Linked DNA regions of Lonchura striata. The protein of the gene in region 2 purifies or fractionates together with the protein of the main gene of each other region. This does not show direct contact. Links are inferred from orthologs where the notes say so. Each region holds a gene or a part of one and is shown on either strand. Other genes may lie near its edges. The genes, in order: RBM25, PRPF40A and NCBP3.

Region 1 (6,905 bases), on a different chromosome or scaffold from region 2:
TTGAGTTAAGACCCTAATGTCTCCACTACATGTTTTGGGGAGGCCCACCCCAATAAAACAAATGCCAGTTTGTACGTTTGAGTGCATTTTTTTAATATATTTTCATCCAAAAGGAACCTAGCTTATCCACAATAAGCTAGGAATAGCACAAACCAATATGAAAAAAACTTCCTAAATGATGATGACTGTGATACTTCCTTCAAGAACACATCCTTGATCCAAGTGAACACAGTAACGTAGGTGCATACTTTATTAGCCTCGGGCCATTTCTCTAAGCAGATTTAATTTCTCTAAGCAGATTAATTATATCATGGATGGCAAAACACCTAAGTTTAATGCCATGCAGACTAAGCTCAAAAACAGCCTGAGCTACTAAGGCAAGTGCTACATAAACACAGCTATAATATTCCAGGTTCAACTTTGGCCTAGAATGAACTCAGCTGCCTTCTACACTGCACTTCTGACTTAAGTCCTGGTAGAACCAAGCAACATGCAGAGCAATCTGCACCAATCTTCTGAAACTTGGAGAGAGTACAGGGACAGCCATAGGTTCTAAGGTTAAGTAAAATCCACTGAGACTGGGAAATCTTGTCATGATGAGATGCCTGCTGGGATGGAGCTCTGTCCACTAGGAGCATTCTGGCTGATTTACAACTAAGCAAACGCAGAGAGCTCACCTTAGGGCTGGAAGAAAGTGTCTGAGTCCACACAGAACTCAAAACTACTATGAAACAAGGATCACCATCACCCAGACACTGCTGCCTTGTTCTTCTTTATCATCTCTGACTCCTAGAAGTCCCAATAAGAGGGGACTGAGATTGTACTGGTCTGGCTGCACTGTTAACACAGTAATTTCTTTTTAAATCATAGTATTTTTTAACCTTCTGTTTTACTGACTCCATTTTTTTTAAACAGAGGTGAAGAGATATGTCATAAGCAGAATGCAAACTCAATAAAAATTGCTGGCAGTGAAGGTATTTTAAATTGATAATCCCATCATCTACTTAAGGCAGCATCATAATTCTACCACTGTTACAGAATTAATATCAGTATCTCTGTTTATACATCAGAAACTTTATGTGTTAAAAGTTTTATTAATTTAGAAACTTGCAAAACATCTTAACCAATTTCAAAGTTCCCATGAAGCAACCAGTTACCATACTTACTACTGTTACACCAAAGTTAAAACTGACTGCAAAACCCCTCAAGTCTTAATGCACAAAACTCACGTGTTTTAGGAATGCATACATGAGGTGACATAGCAACAGTGAGAGTATGGCTGACATAGTTTGATTTAATTTTATCTGATTTTAACTTCCTTTCAGTATTTCCCCAAAACACTTCTGCACCACAAAAAGTCTGTGCCTTTAGTCTAGAATAACTTGCACAAAATGGCTGTGCAGGCTGAAGAAAAGATACACAACAAACTTTTCTGTTAAAGTCTGTACTCTCACAGGCTTGTGCCTTGGTCTCTACACAATGGGTGGATATTTAAGCCATTCCATTATAAAAGCAACCTCCTAGTTTGTCACCCAACAAAGAAGCTGTTTATATTATTACTTGTTGTCAAAAAGGCTCCCTAAAAGAAAAATCTTCTATTCCAAGCCAACTGGTTTCCTCAGTGAAAATGACCATTTTCTCAGACCCCTACAGTTTTCTCCAAAATGGCCTGCAAGCAAAGCAAGATTTAAATGTTAAACACCGCACGCATGGGGAGAGATAAAATATATTATAGGTATCCTAAGCTAAAAACAAAAATACTAGTACTTGCTCTAGCTTGTTTTTCAGAAGTCATCTAGAAAGAGTTTAGTAACTGCTGTGGAATAGTTGCATCCCACCCTGTTATTATGAAGCAACACAAAAAGCAACATGTTTACCCCAACCAAAGCCTCCGTCCCAAAGCCCTTTAAGCAGGGCTCCATTAAGTATGTCATGAGAACTTAAAAGATATTTGATTTAATTCCTAATTCTATGCCTCTGCACCTATATAAAACCCTGGTTAGTGAAGTAAGTGACTTTCCATTCTAACTTGGCTATTGACTCTTCCCAAAACAGAAACTCCTTCTCAGGGGAAGTAAGAAACTCTGCTATTCTTCCTTATAATTTGCTCTGGACTCACCCCATAAATGCTGATGCAATACCTGAACCAATGCTTTCCTGCCACACACAAAAAAAGGACCAATACTCAGTGAGTGTATTTTAGGCTCAATGGGCTAAGAAATAGAAAACTTTTGAGAGCTCACTTTCTCTAAGGCCGTTTAAGACCTAAAAAAAGAAACAACAAAACCGTTAGTTGTGTTCAGGATATTCCCTGTGTTGAAACAAAAAACCCCTCCTCCAAGCAGACAAAGGTCTTTTTCTTCAACGGAAAAAGACATTATGAGAAAAACATGCCGTGTGCACATCACAACGGCTCCCGACACGGATGAATCACTCCCGATTATTTTACGCACGACCTGCCAACACGTGTTTTAAGAAGACCACGCCAATCCACGCTAAAGACAATAACTTCCTTGTCGCAATATATCACGTTTCCTAGCGTGATCGGTTTCCCCGACGTGCAAAAGCAAAAATCCCACCCACAGTCTAAGGCGGCCGGGCGCCAGCAAAGCTCCGCGCAGCTCCGGGTCCCGGCCGTGCCACGGGCTCCCCTCGCCTCCCGCGGGGCCGCTCCCGTCCCTCTCGCCGGGGCGGCGGAATGGGCCCCTCCGCGTCCCAGCGGGAGACGACGCGAGCGGGTCTCGCGAGCACCGCCCCGAGGCCGCTCGTCCGTTCCACGCCCCGTCCAGGCCCGAGCCGCCTCCCCAGCGAGCGCCCGCCGCGGCCCAGCGGCCTCGGCCGGTCCCGGCCGTGCCTCCGCCCAGCGGGCGGCCGAGGCGCCGCCGCCGCCTGCCCTCCCTCCTTGCCTCCCTCTTGCCCGCGCAGCCCCCCGGGTCTCACCCTCGGAGCGGAGCGGGGCGGGGATGGCGCGGGGGAGGCGCTGGGCCGGCTGAGGCCCCGCTAGGCCGCGAACGCACCGCGCCGAGCCGCTGCCGCCGCGCCGCGCGGGGTCATGTGACCCGCCTCTTCCGCCAGCGGCCCGGCGTGCACCGCGCCGCGCCACCACAGAGCCGGCCGCGCCAGAGCGCCCCCAGGCGGCGCCGCGGCCGGCCGTGGAGCGGCGGCGGAAGGCGGGCAGCCAAGGGGCATGCGCGCCGCCGCCATCTTTAGCGGGGGCGGCGCGGGGCCGTGACCCGGCCGGAGCGCCGCCATGTCGGGGCCAGGGTGGCCCGAGGGCCTGGAAGCCTCCGGCGGCGGGGCCACGGAGCTTGGCCGTCTGTCAGCCGTCATGGCCCCCTCAGACAGACACCCAGCCCAGGGACGGGCTGTACCGCAGGCAGGGAATCCCCTCCCTCGACCTGCCCTCATTGTTTGGGATGCAGCCCAGGATACAGCTGGCTTTCGTGGAAGGTTCTGTGTGCTGTAAAAGACTTAAGGATTTACACAGCAAAAAGAGTGAGCACTACCTTTTTAGGCAGCCGCATGCTCGTCAGAAAGATGTCACTGTGCTGTTGGGCCTAGCCATGGTCTACAACTGGTAGTTTCTCTGACCTACTTTCAGCATTTGGACTACATTAAGAGCCAATTTTCAACATGACATGCAAGACAGTAATTGCTGTAGTTATACCGCTGTTGGAAATAAGTTGCAAGTGGAAAGAGGAAGTGACTATGAATGAGAAGAACATGATCTTACAGATTATTATGAGGTAGACCACAAAATGACCATGTGCATAAAACTGTTTAAAAAATGTTGGATTAGGTAAGGGAAAAAAATGTGTTGTATTTTCCATTGTTTAAAGAAAAGTGTTCAAAAGACAAGAGTCCAATGACAAAATCTCCACCTGTAGGCTGACTTCTTCAGTACAAAGCAGATTAAAACTATCTGGTTGATGTCATATGTGCTACTGAACAGCCAACAACTGTGTTGGAACTAAGGTCCCATTCATCACCTTGCTTTACGTGATGTGTAAGGGTAGATATTCTAGCAATAGCAGATTTAAGAAATATTTCAAGTTTGACTGCAATTTCTTGCCCACCAGAAACAGCAGTTTTGCCTTCTATTAATTACAGCTTATTCCAAACAGCTGGCATATCTCCCTCAAAATAATACAAATTTAGTAACTACAATACTGACTACTGTTAATAGTTAAAAAATTTTATAAGCATACTAGGAAAACCAAGGAAAAGAAAAAGGCATAACAAAAATTTTCAGAATCTTCTCTGTGTTGTCTCAGACAACAACAGCTCAGCTTAAAAAGAAATGTGAATCCCAAACTATTTTGTACTGCTGTAATAAGTTTTTATTTACAGGAAACATTGCAAAGGCTTTGCTCATGTACACATTCATCTATTTTTTTAGCCAAAGAAAGAGGCTATTTTGCATTTATTCTTCTTACACAAATAAACTATAGCCTTCTGTATCCTTCTTAATCAAGGAAGAATAGCTGCAGAAGTATCCAGTAAATGTAGCTATTTTCCTGTCTTTACTCTTTCTGCTATGGGATTTTAGAATTGCCCACCCCTGGTGCCTGTATTATCTTCCTGCCTTTACTTATGCAACTGAGATCCCTTTTCCAGATACTGATCACTATTCATTTTTTTCAGTTCTCACGGCAAACTCCAGAATTTTGTGCTCAAGCCAAGCATGAAGATTGTAGTACATGGCTTTTAATATTAAGGTTAAAATTAAGAGGTGCGTTTTTGTCTGCCTTGTATTTCAAGCATGAGAAATCATCCCAAAAATGTTCGGCAGTACCTCAGGGTACCGGGGTCACATTGTTTCTAGACTATGTATTTTAAAAATTTTATATGCATGTTTTTCTTCCCTTCTTCATATCCTTTAATTGCTCCACCACATTGCCAGTCTAAATAGAGGCACTTCGAGGAAGATCCCTTAGATGCCAGACTCATTGATCTCATTCCTTGGCTCCTCTGAATAGCACTGTGAGATTTAAAAGTTTCTACTTCATATGTATTAGTTTAATTCATTATTCGGGATCTTTTCAGTCTGAAGACATTTGGTTCACCAAAACTGTATTCTTGTAGATGTCAGTCTATTTTGTCAATCTCTTAAATTAATCTTTCATGAAAATACATTATTGTAACAGCGTGAAAGAGAACAGGGAAGAGAGTTACTGTGCCAGTCTTCAGTCATTCATCATCACTAAGCTACATAAAAAAATAATTAAATCATGTATATGCCTACACAAATATATATATATAGTACAGTCTAGTGTAATGAAAGTTCTTCAGCAATACACTTTAATTCTGAGAGGGCCTCAGTCATTCCTTGTGTTAGAAAATTCATTGATGCCTCATTTTCACAGTAATTGGATCTGTTGACTCAGTTTTGTGAAGTGATGATACTTCAAAGTAATTACCTTGTAATTTAACTCCATTTTAAAACTGTTTGTCCAAAACTGAAGCAGGAGACCAAAGAACAGGGCACCTTGTAGCTGTCTATTAGTCGTATCAATTTGTAATGTCCACTGAAGGAAAAGAGTGCATGTCCCTCCTCTGATGAAGTAACCACTAGCATTTGAGCCAAATAACCAGCCGAAAACTCTTGTTACTTTAGAAGATGAATTGCCTGTGCACTGGTTATGCTACAACATGTTTTTGCATATTATCTAAATCAGCGAATGAAAAACAACTCATTATGAGCCAACATTGGGTTTGGAGCCACTACTGGCCAAGGCTGCTTCCTCACCGAATGCTTTCTTTGATCATCTCTGTCTGGCGTTCACCTCCCATTCCCATGGCTCCAGTGAATCTGCCATTTCTTGGCAGGTGTGTGCCTCTGTTTTGGACCTGCAGTCCCTTTCAGCTATATAAATTATGGCTGTTTACCCATAGGTTGAAGCTACAGTCATGGAAGAAACCCCAGAGGCTCCAGTGACAGTGACCAGTGGCTCTCTATGTCAAGACTTCATTTAAACCGATGAGTGGCAGGTGAGATTTGGGCACCAAGTGCTCTCCTCTCAGGTGGACACTGTGATCGATCCATTCGTTTGCCAGACGTGGAGGCCTGGAGCAGCTGCCTTGTCATTCTCCAGGCGGTGGGAGGAGAGAGCTTCGCTACATTTTTCACCCCTTTAAACCCTTCTGGGGGCTGTTTACACTCCTCCGGCGCAGCTCCTTGGGAACCCAGGCAGGTGTGAGACAGTGGGGCGAAAACGAAATGAGGGGAGTAAAAAACTTCGTTGTCACCGCAAGGTCCGCGGCACCGCGCCCCCCCCGCCACGGGCACCGCACGTCCCGGCCGGCGCGGCGAGCCCGGGGCGGTGCAGCCTCCGGACTACAACTCCCGGCGTGCCAGCGCCGCCCCGCCTCCAGCTCGCCGCCTTCCCGTCTCCGCGGTGAGAAAATAACCCCGAAGTTCCCCGCGATCAGCTGATCCCGGCTGACAACGAGGGAGCGGGCGGAGGGGGCGCGGGTCCTGGCCGGCCCTGCCCTGCTCAGTTCCCCCGGGCGCCCCGACTGCATGGTCGACCCCTGGGGGAGAAGAACCGGGAGATCCCCCCCGGGCGCGGAGGGCACGGGGGGGAGGAGGAAGCCGCGGCCGGGACCCGAGTCCTTAGTCACCGGGTGCCGGCGGGAGGAAGGGGAAGAAAGGTGGCCGCCGGCTTGTAAACAATAGCCCGGCTCGCGGCGCCCCGTGCCGCGCCGCCTTTGTTCCCAGTCCCGCCGCGGCTCCCGCCCGCTGCCGCTGCTCGGCGGGAGGAACCCGGGGGCTTCCCCCTTGCTGGCCGGCCGGCGCCGGGCGCAGCCCCAGGTAGGTCTGGGCGCGGGGGGAGGCGCCGGCCGGCACCGCCGTTACGTAACCGCGGGCGGGTGGCGGGGTCCGCCTGCAGCCCCCGCGGGCC
Region 2 (7,929 bases):
AGCTGCAGCTGCCCGCTGGATCCCATGGGATGGGATCCCCCTGGATCCACTGGAGCAAATCCCGCCGGATCCCACTGGATGGATCCAGATGGATCCCATTGCATTGAATCCCGCTGGATCCCACTGGAGCAAATCCCACCAGATCCCATTTCATTTGATCCAGCTGGATCCCATTGCATTGAATCCTGCTGGATCCCGTTGCATGAAATTCCACTGGATCCTACTGGATGGACCTTGCTGGATCCCATTGCATTGAATCCTTCTGGATCCCACTGGATGGATCCTGCTGGATTCCATTTTATTGAATCCCATTGGATCCCACTGGATGAATCCTGCTGGATAGAATCCTGCTGGATCCCATTGGATTGAATCCCACAGGATCCCATTGGATGGAATACCATGGGATCCCACGGGATGGATCTCACTGGATGGATCCCACTGGATGCAGTTGGATGGAATCCCACTGAATGGAACCCCACTGGATCCTCCTGTTGCATGGATCCTGCTGGATGGATCCCACTGGATGGATCCTGCTGGATCCTGTTGCTTGGATCCCACTGGATCCCATTGGATGGATTGCACCAGATGGATCCCACTGGATGAATCCCACTAGATGGAGCCCGTTGCATGGATCCCGCTGGATCCTGTTGGATGGATCCCACTGCACGGATCCTGTGGGATGGATCCCATTGCATGGATCCCGTTGGATCCCACTGGATGGATCCCACTGGATGGATCCTGTTGGATGGATGTCGCTGGATCCCATTGGATGGATCCCGTTGCATGGAACCGGTTGCATGGATCCCACGGGATGCATCCCACTGGATGGATCCCACCGGATGGATCCCACTGGTTGCATCCCGTTGGATGGATGCTGCTGGATCCTGTTGCATGGATCTCACTGCACGGATCCCGCAGGACGGATCCCGCCTTTGGGAATGCCCCGAGCGCGGTTCCCCGGCGGGGCTGGAGCCGCGGCTCCGGCAGCCAAACCGCGTTTTCCCGGGAATGCCAGAATTCCAAAGGCACGGGAAATGAAAAATCCATTTCCAAGTCCTCTCCTTTCCCTCCTTGCCCGGCCGCCGATTCAGGATGCCGGGACAAGCCGAGATTCCCTGTGCGAGCCCTCTCCCTGCTGGCCGCTCCAGGAATTCGCCTGGAATTCTCTGCCTTTCCACAGGAAATCCTGGGAAACACCCGAGAGCAATTTTATATTCAGTTTACAGGAAATAAAAGTTTTTCTACGAGAAAAAATAAAGATCACTGGTTAAATATATTCCAGCTAACAGGTAAAATTCCATGGAAAGGGAATTCCAGAGCTCATTGTCCCAAATATCTTATATTCCAGAATTCCATGTTTCAGAATTTGCGTTGCAGAATTTAAATTTCAGGGGTTTTATTTCAAAATTTGCGTTCCTGAATTTTTATTTCAGAATTTTCACTTCTGTTTTTATTTTGGAGGTTTTTATTCCTGAATTCGCATTTCAGAATTTGCGTCTCGGGGTTTTTTATCTCAGAGTTTGCGTTTTCAAATTTACATTGCACAGTTTTCTATTTTAGAACTTTCAGCTCAGATTTTTTTATTTCAGAATTTCTATTTCAGAATCTGCAATTCAGAATTTTTATTTCAGAATTTCTATTTCAGAATTTCTATTTCAGAATCTGCAATTCAGAATTTTTATTTCAGAATTTTTATTTCAGCATTTCTATTTTCAGAATTTCTATTTTCAGAATTTCTATTTTCAGAATCTGCAATTCAAAAGTTTTATTTCAGAATTTTTACTTCAAAGTTCTCTTATTTCAGAATTTGTATTACAATTTTTAAAAAATTTTGGAGTTCTGTATTTCCTACAAATCCTGCCTGAAAATCCAGGTTAAAAAGCAGAAGTTTCCTCCAGGATCAGGAAGAAGAGTGAAGGATTGGATGCTCTATCAAAATTTCTGTAAAAACACAAAAAAAAGTTTAAAAAATCAGGAAAAAAAATTAAATCAATTCACTTGATTTGGACTGATTTGAGGCAGCTGTGCTTAAAAATAAAGAAATAAAAATACTCCAAGTACTAAAGTTACACCTTGGGCTGCCAAAAGCAGCTGTGCCCCGCTGGAGCTCTGCTCCCTGCACACCGGGAGAGACTGAAATGAGATTTCAAGATTTAATTGAAAATCAATTTAAATTTTAATTTCACTGCTTGATCATGGCCGAAAAATCGGATTAATCAAGACCTTTTTGGGTGGATTTAGAGAATTCTTTAAGCTCGGGGAGGTGAGGGTTGGTGTTTATCCCAAGAGTCCAAGGAAGAACCTGGGAGAGGGGAGGTGTCCCTGCCCACGGGAATGTGGGATTGCAGGAATTTTTGTCCTTTTTTATCCCAATAATTCCATATTTCCATGAGCCGAGCCAAACCAGCCCCTGGCTGACAGCAGCCACGGGATTGATTAAATATCTGTACCCCAAAATGCAAAATGAGGTGTTTGAAAACCGTGGAGGCGTGTGGAAATCCAGGAATATCATGGAAAATAAATCCACATCCCTGACGATCCCTCTGCTCAAGGGGAAGAACGAGACATGGGCAGGGGACAGGAAAATATTCCAAGTTTTGTAACTTCAGGAAGAAAAACATGGATAAATAAACATGCCAAGGGGGCAGAGATCATTCCCTGGATATCCTGAGTCGTTCCGCTTTGGAGTCCCCACTTAAATTCATTTATCCCGCAGAATTGGGGATTCTGGCTGGGAGGGATTTTGGGAATTGGGAATTCTGGCTGGGAGGGTGGGCTGGAATTCCCAAAGAAGCTGAGGCTGCCCCTGGCACAGCCACGGCCTCGCAGCTGCCAGAGCTCCCGGAGCGCGTCCCGATCCCAGCGGGACATTCCCGATTCCCAACGGGACATTCCCCATTCCCAATGGGACACTGCCCATTCCTCCGGGACATTCCTGATCCCCAGCAGGACACTCCCCATTCCCAATGGGACATTTCCAATGGAACATTCCTGGTTCCCAATGGGACATTCCCAGCGGGACACTCCCGGTTCCCAACGGGACATTCCCGGTTCCCATTCCCGATCCCAGCGGGACACTCTCGGTTCCCAATGGGACATTCCCGGTTCCTATTCCCGGTTCCCAATGGGACATTCCTGGTTCTCAATGGGACATTCCCGGTTCCCATTCCCGATCCCAGCGGGACACTCTCGGTTCCCAATGGGACATTCCCGGTTCCTATTCCCGGTTCCCAATGGGACATTCCCGGTTCCCAATGGGACATTCCCGGTTCCTATTTCCGGTTCCCAATGGGACATTACTGGTTCCCATTCCCAATCCCAGCGGGACATTCTCCATTCCCAATGGGACATTCCCATATTCTCAATGGGACATTCCCTGTTCCCATTTCCCGGTTCCCATTCCCTGTTCCCATTTCCCGGTTCCCACTCCCGGTTCCCATTCCCGATCCCAGAGGGACATTCCCATATTCTCAATGGGACATTCCCTGTTCCCATTCCCTGTTCCCATTTCCCGGTTCCCATTCCCTGTTCCCATTTCCCGGTTCCCACTCCCGGTTCCCATTCCCGATCCCAGAGGGACATTCCCATATTCTCAATGGGACATTCCCTGTTCCCATTTCCCGGTTCCCATTCCCTGTTCCCATTTCCCGGTTCCCACTCCCGGTTCCCATTCCCGATCCCAGAGGGACATTCCCTGTTCCCATTTCCCGGTTCCCATTCCCTGTTCCCATTTCCCGGTTCCCACTCCCTGTTCCCATTCCCGATCCCAGCGGGACATTCCCTGTTCCCATTCCCGATCCCAGCGGGACATTCCCTGTTCCCATTCCCTGTTCCCATTTCCCGGTTCCCATTCCCATTCCCTGTTCCCATTCCCGATCCCAGCGGGACATTCCCTGTTCCCATTCCCGGTTCCCATTCCCGGTTCCCATTCCCGGTTCCCATTCCCGATCCCAGAGGGACATTCCCGGTTCCCATTCCCTGTTCCCATTCCCGGTTCCCATTCCCGGTTCCAGCGGGACATTCCTCATTCCCAATGGGACATTCCCTGTTCCCATTCCCTGTTCCCATTCCCTGTTCCCATTTCCCGGTTCCCATTCCCATTCCCGGTTCCCATTCCCTGTTCCCATTCCCTGTTCCCATTCCCGGTTCCCATTCCCTGTTCCCATTCCCGGTTCCCATTCCCGGTTCCCATTCCCGATCCCAGCGGGACATTTCCTGTTCCCATTCCCGGTTCCCATTCCCGGTTCCCATTCCCATTCCCGGTTCCCATTCCCGATCCCCGCGGCCGCTCCCCTCAGCGGCACCAACCACTGCGCGCGGCCCGGGGGGGGGACCGGCGCCACCCCGGCCGCGCTCGGCACGTACCACCGTCACGCAGAGGGGGGGGTACACTGACCCGGCGCGTACCACCCGCGTCCGCCTGAGGGGAGCTCTACCGCCACCTCCCGCCGAGTTGGAGCTGCGGCGCGCGAAACCACCCCCTCCTTCCGGCGCTGTTGGTGCCGCCCGGCGCAGCGCGCACCTCCCCCGGCCCCACGTGAGCGCTCTCCCGGCGTGCCCCGCGCTCGGCCGCCGCAGCCGCCGCTCCGCTCCGCGCGCCGCGCTCCCGGCCGAGCCGCCCGCGCCGCCGCGGGGCCGCCCCGCTCCCCGCCAGCATGTCCGGCGGCGACTCCACCGCCGCGGCCGCCGCCGCCTCCCCGCAGCCTCTGCCGTTCTCTCTGCCGAAACCGCCGCCCCTGATGCAGCTGACTCCGGGCGACGCGGTGCGGCCGGTGGGCTCGGGCGCGGACCAATCGCCGAAGAGCGCGCGGCTGGCGGCGCGGCCCGATTGGCCGGCGGGGAAGCCGGTCAGCCTGCTGGCGCCGCTGCTGCCGCCCCGCGGCGAGCCCGAGCCGCTGCTGCCCTTCGGGCCCGCCGCGCCGCGCCCGCCCCTGCGCGGCCGCCTGCTGGGCCGCTGCGGCGGCTCGCTGCTCAGCCCCGCCATGCGCCCCGCCGCCGTGGACCGCGCCTCGCTCATGGTCAGTGCCGCGCCGGGCCGGGGGAGCGGGGGCAAATCCATGAACGGGCTCGGGGAGCTGGCCCGCGCGGGGGTGGAGTTCCTGCTCCTGTGCAGGTGGGATTCCTGGGTATCGGTTCTTGTCTGTAAAACCCTCTCTGGGCACCTGGAGCCCGCACAGGGAAGGAGTTCTTGCGTGTGTTCCTGGGCATCAGTCCCTGCCCATCAGACCTCTCTGGGCACCTGGAGCCCGCACAGGGAAGGAGTTCTTGCTTGTGTTCCTGGGCATCAGTCCCTGCCCATCAGACCTCTCTGGGCACCTGGAGCTCATACAGGGAAGGAGTTCTTGCTTGTGTTCCTGGGCATCAGTCCGTGCCCATCAGACCTCTCTGGGCACCTGGAGCTCATACAGGGAAGGAGTTCTTGCTTGTGTTCCTGGGCATCAGTCCCTGCCCATCAGACCTCTCTGGGCACCTGGAGCTCATACAGGGAAGGAGTTCTTGCTTGTGTTCCTGGGCATCAGTCCGTGCCCATCAGACCCTCTCTGGGCACCTGGAGCCCACACAGGGAAGGAGTTCCTGCTCCTGTGCAGGTGGCACCTCGTGGGTATCGGTTCTTGTCTGTAAAGCCCTCTCTGGGCACCTGGAGCCCGCACAGGGAAGGAGTTCTTGCTTGTGTTCCTGGGCATCAGTCCGTGCCCATCAGACCTCTCTGGGCACCTGGAGACCACACAAGGAAGGAGATCCTGTTCCTCTGCTGGTGCCATTCCTGCGCATCAGTCCCTGCCTGTCAAATCCTCCCTGGGCACCTGGCACCTGTATAAGGATGGAGTTCCTGCTCCTGTGCAGGTGGCACTACCTGGGCGTCAGTCCCTGCCCATCAGACCCTCTCTGGGCATCTAGAGCCCGAATAAGGAAGGAGTTCTTCCTTGTGTTCCTGGGCATCAGTCCCTGCCCATCAGACCTCTCTGGGTACCTGGAGCTCACACAAGGAAGGAGTTCCTGTTCCTGTGCAGATGGCATTCCTGGGCATCAGTCCCTGATAGTCACCTGCACAGAGAAGGAATTCTTGGTCCTCTGCTGGTGGCATTCCTGCGCATCACTCCTTGCCTGTCACCCACGCAAGGATGGAGTTCTTGCTTCTGTGCAAGTGGCACTTCCAGGTGGCACTTCCTGGGCATCAGTCCCTGCCCATCAGACCTCTCTGGGCACCTGGAGCCCACACAAGGAAGGAGATCCTGCTCCTGTGCAGGTGGCATTCCTGGGCATCAGTCCCTGCCTGTCACCCACACAGAGAAGGAATTCTTGGTCCTGTGTAGGTGGCACTTCCTGGGCATCAGTCCCTGCCCATCAGACCCTCTCTGGGCACCTGGAGCTCACACAGGGAAGGAGTTCTTGCTTGTGTTCCTGGGCATCAGTCCCTGCCCATCAGAGCTCTCTGGGCACCTGGAGCCCACACAAGGAAGGAGTTCCTGCTCCTGTGCAGGTGGCACTTCCTGGGCATCAGTCCTTGCCTGTCACCCACGCAAGGATGGAGTTCTTGCTTCTGTGCAAGTGGCACTTCCAGGTGGCACTTCCTAGGCATCAGTCCCTGTCCATCAAACCCTCTCTGGGCACCTGACACCCTCACAGGGAAGGAGTTCCTGCTCCTGTGCAGGTGGCATTCCTGGGCATCAGTCCCTGCCTGTCACCCACACAAGGAAGGAGTTCTTGGTCCTGTGCTGGTGGGGCTTCCTAGGCATCAGTCCCTGCCCACCAAACCCTCTCTGGGCAGTGATGCCCGCACAGGGAAGGAATTCTTGGTAGTGTGCAGGAGGCACTTCCTGGGCATCACTCCCTGCCCATCAAACCCTCTCTGGCACCTGGAGCCCACACAGGAAGAAGTTCCTACTCGTGTGCAGGTGGGGCTTTTTGGGCATGAGTCCCTGCCCCCCAAACCCTCTCTGGGCACCTGTCACCCACACAAGGAAGGAATCATTGAAAAACTGAAAGGTGCGGAAATTAAGGGAGAATTCCTCCCCTGTGAGGGTGGGGATTCCTGGGGTGGAATTCCAGGCTGCCTCATCCCTGGAAGTGTCCAAGGCTAGGTTGGAGCACCTGGGACAGTGGAAGGTGTCCCAGAGGCTGAAACTGGAGGCATTCAGGTCCCTCCTACCCAAACCATTCTGGGATTGTGTCTTCAATAATTTGGTTTTTTTTTTCCCTTTCCTGCTAACTATATTTTCCAAATGGAAACTCTGCCTGGGTTTTATCCTAAGGAACTCCGAGAGCTGTGGAACAGAAATCTCTGGGAGTGTTTGAATCCCTGAAAAGCCCAGGGAAGGGGATCTCCTTTTCCCCCTGCTGGGTGTGTCTGGGGCGCTCGCCTCGCCGCTGATTTTTTTCCCTGGTTGTTTTCCAGATGGGCCACCCGGGAATGCCCCACTACCCCCCGATGGGGATGCACCCCATGGGGCAGAGACCCCCCAACATGCCCCCGGTCCCCCACGGGATGATGCCGCAGATGATGCCCCCCATGGGGGGACCCCCGATGGGGCAGGTAAGGCAATTCCAGCAGCTCCTGCTCCATCCCTCAGGAAAAGGGATCCCTCCAGCTCCCTGGGAGAGGGAGAGGAGAGAATTCGGGAGTTTATCCTAACCGGGGGAAAACCCTTCTTACGGGCAGCAGGGAGTGGATGCACCTTGGTGACTTCAGTTAGTAATTGGTATGGGAGCAGGTAATTAATGCACCTCTAGCTTCATTTTCAATCCAGAATTTGGGATCGAGTCAAGTTTTTTGGAATGAAAACAGATAATGTAATGCACCTCTTAATTTTCAATCCAGAATTTGGGATTGATTCAAGTTGTTTTTTGGAAGGAGAAAAGGTAATTAATGCACCTGTAACTTGAATTATCAATCAATATATTGGGATCGATTCATGTTTTTTGGAATGG
Region 3 (7,228 bases), on a different chromosome or scaffold from region 2:
CACTGACTGCATTCCCACAGAGGTCTGCAACAGGGAAGAGCTTAGGTTCCACTGGTGCCACAGAGGAGCCATGTGTGTGTGGGCATGGACAAACTAAGAGTTCTATTTGTGAAAACAAAGCAATATGTACCACTTTTAGACTATTCTCCAAGATCTCTTAAATGCCAGAGTAATATCTGTCAACGTGTGTAGAATTCTGCTCCAGCTCTGCTCAGTTCTGTGAGCTTTTTTCCAGAAAGGAATCTGCTTTTTCAACTGTGTGGTCTCCCTGTTGCAGCACTTGCATAAACAATGTTAGAGCACTGCTATCCCTGACTCTGAGGGTGCTGTGCTCCTCCCTGCATCCAATATTCTGGTTTTTTGTAGGGCCCTGTAGCTGTCTCCTGCATAGGACTCTGGCATTGTGTCAGGTTCCAGGGTTGTACTAACCTCCACAATATCCCAGTGAGAAAATATTCTTCCTTACAGGTGGGGAGTCTGTGGTTCATCAAATCCATAAGAAAACACCAGGTGCTTGCTTTCAGCCTCACAAATGAACATCCTTCTTCTGCTGATGCTGTTCTCTCTCCAGATGGGCTGGAGCTAGGAGTGAGCCTAATCTTTTTGGAGGTCAGTCCCAGTTTCCGTGGTGATGTGTGGGGTTTGCTGGCCAGCTGCAGGAATAGCACACACACTTCCATGGGTTTTTCACGGGTTTGAAAAGCTGCAGATCCTTGCTGAGAGCCCAGGACGGCAGGAGAGTTAAATCATATCCGCAGGAACACGTGTCCTTTCTGTTCAGTGTTCACAGACCTCAAACAAACAAATCAACCAATACTTTTTTAGAGCAAAATTCACCATTTTTTCCTGATTCCTGCCAGGCCGCTGCAAAAAAGCCTCATTTTTTGAGGGCCCAGAGTCTGTTCTTTTTTCCCTCTCCCTTCCCGGTCCCCGTCTCCCGATTTCCGCCGATCCCAAAACTGCGGGAATTGGCGTTTTCCATCAGGTTTTGGTTTTGGTTTTGGCTCAGGTTGGGACTCCTGCTGCACGAGCTCTCTCTGGTGGTCAAAGCCGGGAAACCAATAACCCCTAAATCCTCCCGTGGGTGTTTTTATTCTGGAATGATTCCATAGGATTTTGGAATAGTTTGGATGGGAAGGGACCTCGTACATTATCCAGGTGCGACCCCGAGCCGTGGACAGGGACCTTCCTCTAGGGCAGGTTGAGAGCCCCATCCAACCTGGCCTTGATCGCTTCCAGGTTATCCACAGCTCCTCTTCTACAGTCACCTTCTCACCTTCATTATTTGTAAAAGCCTTTCCTTACTTGGCATTTCTGATAATAACTGGTAGCCTTTCCCAAATTTCTTTTTCCTCCCCTATTTAAGCTCTGCATCCCTCAGCAGTTTATTACCTTCGCCCCATCCCTGCTGCACAAAGGCTACAACAACGCAGAGCTCTTCTGCCTAAACCTGCTTCCTACAAGTTTGAAAACAATTAACATTTTAAGAATTCAGGTGATCTTTCACAGGCAGAGGGATTGCAGAGAGGAATGTGAAAGAAAAACGAAGCTCTGGGACACTGTCTCAGAAGAATAAAACTAAATCAGCTTGAAATGCCAAAGAATTCACTGCTAATTACAAGATCCTGAAAGGAATAAAGTACAAAATACTATGAAAACATTTTATTCACTCACCTAGCAGTAAAAAGCTCCAGTGGTACACAGGTTTGGTTTCCTTCTCCTGATTTTATTGTCCCTACCAGTTGGTCAGAGATTGTTTTTTCCTAAGAAGCTCTAAAATTTTGGCAGTGTCTAAAGCCACACTCAATCAGTAGAAAGTTTCTTGCTGAGTGCAATGAGTGAATCTTGAAAAGATGCCAAGTATGGAGGGCTGTAGTACAGCAATGTTCTGCCTGAGGTGACATCCAAGGGATGTTAAAACAAAATCAGGAAACACCTGGGTCAGCCCAAGGTTCATCTGCACTCTGCTGACAGCAGTGCAAGGTGACCTGGGGTCACATAACCTTGTCCCAACTGCTCCTTGAAGCGTTTGGCTTTGTCAAGCTGGTCTAGATCACATGGCAGTACTGTGTCCTACTTAGAAAAATAAAACTAAAGAAGTTCCATCTCTTGGTTTCTTTTCCCTGTGACCTAAGAAACAGCATTTCTTCCACAGAAATGTTTCCTCTTGCAATTAGTTCAGGCTCAGCTGCTCGCAGGGGGTGCCTGTGTCCTGTTTATTCCTTTCCTTTGCCTCATGTGGCCTGGAACCTGGCTTCACACCTGGCTTGGAAGTGTCACCTGTGCCAGGAGTTCCTACCAGGTGCTGCTGTGGGATGTCCATGCCAAATGTAGCACTTTTGGTGAACAGTGACAGAAGCCATTGTGTCACAAGCTCTGCGTGAAGACTTGAGAATAAATAATCTTGGAGTGAGTGATGGGTAGAACAATCTCTTGATCCTGCTGGATTTTGTGTAAGGGGAGGAGCCTTTGTGCTGCCAAGTGGGAAATGTCTTTGTGACAAAGTCTAAATTTGAATTTTCCTGGGATGTGCCATCAGCTGTGAGGGAAAGTTAAGCATCCCAGGGGATGGACTGGAGGGGGTTTATTTGTAACATGTGCAGAAATGAGGTGTGGAGCAGCGTGAGCTGGAGGGAAGGGTCCTGCAGCTGGAGAAGTAACAGGAATTCTTAGTGGTGTGACAATAACACACAATGACAGTGGGATGTGGCTGTGTAGCCCGGCAGCTGTGGTGTGAAATAATGATGCCAAGGCAGGAGCAACTCTTCAGCTAGACCAGGATTCTGGTCTGCTGTGTGTGAGGGAATGGAGCTGATTAGTGTCAGTGGGGGAATGAATGTCTCATGGGGACTGATGAAAGCATGTGGTTTATTTAGGCCAAGAAGAGGCAGGGCTGCTCTCCTGGAACAAGCTGAACACCTTGGGATGAGGGGACAAAGAGAATAACTGAGCCTCAGAACAACGGGATGCAACACTGCAGAGAACTGCGAGCTGAGAATTAGTTTGCTTTTATCAGAGGTGTAACATTCCTCTAGTATGGACGGGAAAATTGAACATTAGAGTTCAGATAGTTTAAAAACACATTTTTAGGGGAAGGATGTAAGTTCTGTGTCCGCTCTCCGTGTGCCTTTCCCCAGGGCCGGGGGTACGCGGGGACACGGCGGGGCCGCCCTCTCGCCCGCTGCAGCCGCGCTCTCTGCCCGGTCTGTGTGGCCGTTCTCCACCCTGAGCCCCTGGGCCCTGAACCGGCTCCGTCCGGCCCGGGACGTGCCGGGCTTGCGGTGCGTGGATTCGCGCTGTGCTTGGATTGGGGGTGCGCTGCGTCTCGGGGTGCGCTGAGTCTAGGGGTGCGCTTGATTCGGAGTGCGCTGGATTCGGGGTGCGCTGGATGCGGGGTGTGCTGAGTCTCGGGGTGCGTTGGACTCGGGGTGCGCTGAGTCTCAGGGTGCGCTGAGTCTCGGGGTGCGCTGGTCTCGGGGTGCCTTGGACTCGGGGTACACTGAGTCTCGGGGTGCGTTGGACTCGGGGTGCGTTGGACTCGGGGTGCACTGAGTCTCGGGGTGCGCTGAGTCTCGGGGTGCGTTGGACTCGGGGTGCACTGAGTCTCGGGGTGCGCTGAGTCTCGGGGTGCACTGAGTCTCGGGGTGCGCTGGTCTCGGGGTGAGCTGAGTCTCGGGGTGCGTTGGACTCGCGTCGCGCTGGGCTCCAGGTGCGTTGGGCTTAGGGGGCGCAGCGGGCTCGGGGTGCGCTGGGTCTTGGGGGCGCGTTGGATTCGGGGCGCACCGGGTCTCGGGGGCGCGTTGGATTCGGGGCGCACCGGGCTCGGGGTGCGTTGGATTCGGGGCGCACCGGGCTCGGGGTGCGTTGGATTCGGGGCGCACCGGGCTCGGGGTGCGCTGGATTCGGGGTGAGCTGAGTCTCGGGATGCGTTGGATTCGGGGTGCGCCGGGTCTCGGGGGCGCGTTAGATTCGGGGTGCACCGGGCTCGGGGCGCGTTGGATTCGGGGCGCACCGGGCTCGGGGTGCACCCGGGGGTCCCGCTGGCTCTCAGGGCCCGCTCGCTCTCGGGGGAGGCCGGCCCCGCCGCGCTGCGGGCGGCGCTCGGATCGCGGCGCTCCGCCCGCCCGGCGCTCCCGGCCGCTCTCCGCGCTCGGAGCCGCCCCGCCGCTCCGTGCCGCCCCGCGCTCGTCTCGCTGGCCGCGCTGGGCGGGCCTGGCGGAGCCATGGCGGCCGTGCGGGGCCTGCGGATCTCGGTGAAGGCGGAGGCGAGCAGCGCCACGGCGGAGCCGCGCGGCGCCGAGCCCGAGCCCATGGAGGTGGAGGAGGGAGAGCTGGAGACCATCCCTGTGAGGCGCTCGCTGCGGGAGCTCATCCCGGTGAGGCCCGAGGGGTGTGGGCGAGGAGGGGCTGGCTCCGGCGGCTGGATCCGGGGTGCCTGAGCGCTCTGTGCGGGCTTTTGGGGGGATTCTTGGGAATAGCAGGGAATAGGAGGGGGCTCGGGGGCGAGTCCTGAGGAAGCGGGCGGGATGTGCCTGGGGACGGGCGGAATAAAGGAAGCGGTGGAGAAGAGGATTTGGGGTGCAGTGTTGGGGTGTGGAGGAAGCTGTGGGTGGAGGGGGTACAGGGAATGTTTGATGCCGGGATCTCAGGGAATACCTGGAGCAGGGAACAGGGGCTGACGGCGGATAGCAGAGCTGGGAGGGTGGGCTCTGATGAGTGGGTTTCCTTCACGATGTTTTTCTGCCCTTTTTCACTCGTTGATTGTTTCTCTACAAGTTTTAGTAGGATTAGGTTTAACAACTAGAAATGGGTCAGAGTTTTAAAATCCTAAGTAATCTTTTGCTCTCAAAACTTGGGTGAAAATTGTTTTGGAAGCTAATCTTTAATTAGCTTGTCTACCAACGTGCTTGTGCTTTTACACAACATGTGGCCTGAGAGACAGCATCGTGCTGTACTTCCTTGTGCTCCGTGAGTCAACCTCAGACACTGTGGGGTTTCAACGTTTAAAATCATGTTTACTTTGCTTTTCCTTTCCTAGTAACTCTGGCCATTTGGCAGCATTAGTGCAACTTTTGGTGCTGTTACTAAGAAAAGCGGTTGGATTGTGTGTGTTCTTCGGTCTTTCTAAACTGAGACTAACCTACTTCTAGAAATGGTCCTTTAGCCAAAGTAATTATTGCAGCACAAGTGTAAAGAACTCTTTTGCTCCTAAAGAAAGCAGGAGGTGTTCTTCCAGCTCTAAACTTCTGACAGTTGAGAATGTCAGAATGAAGAGGTGCCATTTTACAAATGCAAACAATGGAGGGCACAGAATTGGGTCATTGGTCCAGGGGCTGTGGGGTTTAGTCCCTCTCTAAATTCACCAGTCCTGACTGACAGAGAGGAAACTTGTAATTTTTCCCCCTCTCATTCTCCATTTTTACCCCCTCTCAGTATCAAAACTGAAGTATTTCACCTCGCGATTTGGAACTTGGGGTTGAAATAATGATAGGAATAAAATGCTACTTGTTTCATTGTGGATGTGGCTTGCTGTTCTCACTTTATGAGATTAAAAACTGCAAACTGACATTTCAATAATCAGGTATCACTGTTAAATCTGCTCATGTGTTACAAGGAAATTATACCCAAACCCAAAATTGTGGAAGTCTTACTCAGGAAAGATGTTTGATGACTTTTTCTGTATTACTGAGAGAGTAAAAGCTTGGCAGCAGCTGACATAGAAACTAAATTCTGTCAAAGGAAAGAATCCTTACAGTGAGGGAAGTTTGGTTCAGTTCATGTGCTTTTACTTTCACTGACATGAGGGTGCCTCTCTGTCCAGGGATGTAGCTTGGATCAAGGAAAAGAGATTCTGTTTCTTGTAGGAATGCTCAGGTGAATTTTTCCGTGTAACAAGTGTGTTGCTTTCAGTGCTCATTGAGATTTCATCACCATTTTGCTCTGTTTCAGGACACCAGTAGGAGATATGAAAACAAAGCTGGAAGTTTCATCACTGGCATAGATGTGACCTCCAAGGTAATTTTTGTGCTATGGCTCTTCAACATTTTGTCATTTTTGCCACTGGAGAGATGGAACCATTTCATTTCTTTCTTTCCCAACATGGACGAAGGCTTAGCCTGGTGTTGAGGTCATTCAGCTGCATGAATCACTGCATATTCCAAAGATACAGAAACCTATAGTGCTTCCTAATAAAATTTGGAGAACAAGGAGCTTCTCAGCTCCCAGTTCCCAAAATTGGACAAGTTCCAGGCAGGCTGTTATTCGTGAGCTACATAAGAGGAGCCTGAGTTGCCAGTCTAAAAAATTCTCTGGAGCCAGTTCTCCAGTGTTAAATTCATGCTCAGAGAAACAAATTTACACTTTTGTATATATTAAAAAACAAGGGAAAAAATAATATAATCTTCAAAGATGAATTTTGCCTGTGGTAGAAAGGCTTCTTTTAGAAGAGGGGTTTTATTTAATATTTGTTAGCAAGGACTAGATAATGTTCCTGTTCCATAATGGAGTCTGTGTTTTTCAAGCCACCTTGTTTCCCATGCATCCTGATTCCCATTGCTGGACCTACACAAAAACTGTTGTGTGACACAGAAATATTTTTGTGAATTACTTCTACATTCTGAAACCTACAGGTCTCTCCAGAATTAACAGAATTGTTAATATAAATTGTTGGCTGTCTGGTAGATTTTAAGTGTCCTCAGTGCAGTTTATTGACCTTGTTTGAGTGCACTGCTTTGCATTTTGCAGGAAGCAATTGAGAAGAAGGAGCAAAGAGCCAAACGCTTCCATTTTCGGGCTGAGGTGAATCTGGCCCAGAGGAACGTGGCCCTGGACCGGGACATGATGAAGAAAGGTACAAGTTCATCCAGCAGTCAGGAGCAAAGATCCCTTTAGTCACCCCCTCACAGTGTCTTGACTTGATTTATCCTGCAATATTTCCTACATTCCCAGAGGTTTTGCCAGATTACTGCTGAAAGGAATCACTTTGAGGTTTTTCCACCTTCTCGTTTGCACATCGTTGTTTTTTAACCTGTTTGACACTTTCCATTTCACTCCTTGTTTTACCAGCCCCAGCACAAAGATGACATTTTTGTGTGTCTTATTTACTATTGCTCAATTCCCAGGATTCACCTTCTGGATCAGTGCTGCTTTAAGAATCTTTAAATGCTCTGTAAAAACCCTGGAGCACTGTGTGGGTACACGTGGAGGACTCTGTGTCCTGTGCACAAGG

Evidence for each region.
Region 1: the proteins of PRPF40A (region 2) and RBM25 purify together in Homo sapiens (affinity purification with mass spectrometry; 5 studies listed by BioGRID and IntAct, with this or other methods). This does not show direct contact. The link is inferred for Lonchura striata from reciprocal best matches to the Homo sapiens genes PRPF40A and RBM25.
Region 3: the proteins of PRPF40A (region 2) and NCBP3 purify together in Homo sapiens (affinity purification with mass spectrometry; 3 studies listed by BioGRID and IntAct, counting the BioPlex papers as one, with this or other methods). This does not show direct contact. The link is inferred for Lonchura striata from reciprocal best matches to the Homo sapiens genes PRPF40A and NCBP3.

The regions. Positions count from the first base shown.
Region 1 is NC_134608.1:35,553,458-35,560,362, reverse strand, and holds the start of RBM25 (RNA-binding protein 25), read right to left. Parts: upstream 3,056-6,905; 5' UTR 2,941-3,055; intron 1-2,940. UniProt on the Homo sapiens protein: RNA-binding protein that acts as a regulator of alternative pre-mRNA splicing. Involved in apoptotic cell death through the regulation of the apoptotic factor BCL2L1 isoform expression.
Region 2 is NC_134610.1:1,399,917-1,407,845, forward strand, and holds the start of PRPF40A (pre-mRNA-processing factor 40 homolog A), read left to right. Parts: upstream 1-4,929; 5' UTR 4,930-4,982; coding exon 4,983-5,018; intron 5,019-7,396; coding exon 7,397-7,534; intron 7,535-7,929.
Region 3 is NC_134622.1:6,723,101-6,730,328, reverse strand, and holds the start of NCBP3 (nuclear cap-binding protein subunit 3), read left to right. Parts: upstream 1-4,181; 5' UTR 4,182-4,223; coding exon 4,224-4,376; intron 4,377-5,949; coding exon 5,950-6,015; intron 6,016-6,744; coding exon 6,745-6,850; intron 6,851-7,228. UniProt on the Homo sapiens protein: Associates with NCBP1/CBP80 to form an alternative cap-binding complex (CBC) which plays a key role in mRNA export. NCBP3 serves as adapter protein linking the capped RNAs (m7GpppG-capped RNA) to NCBP1/CBP80.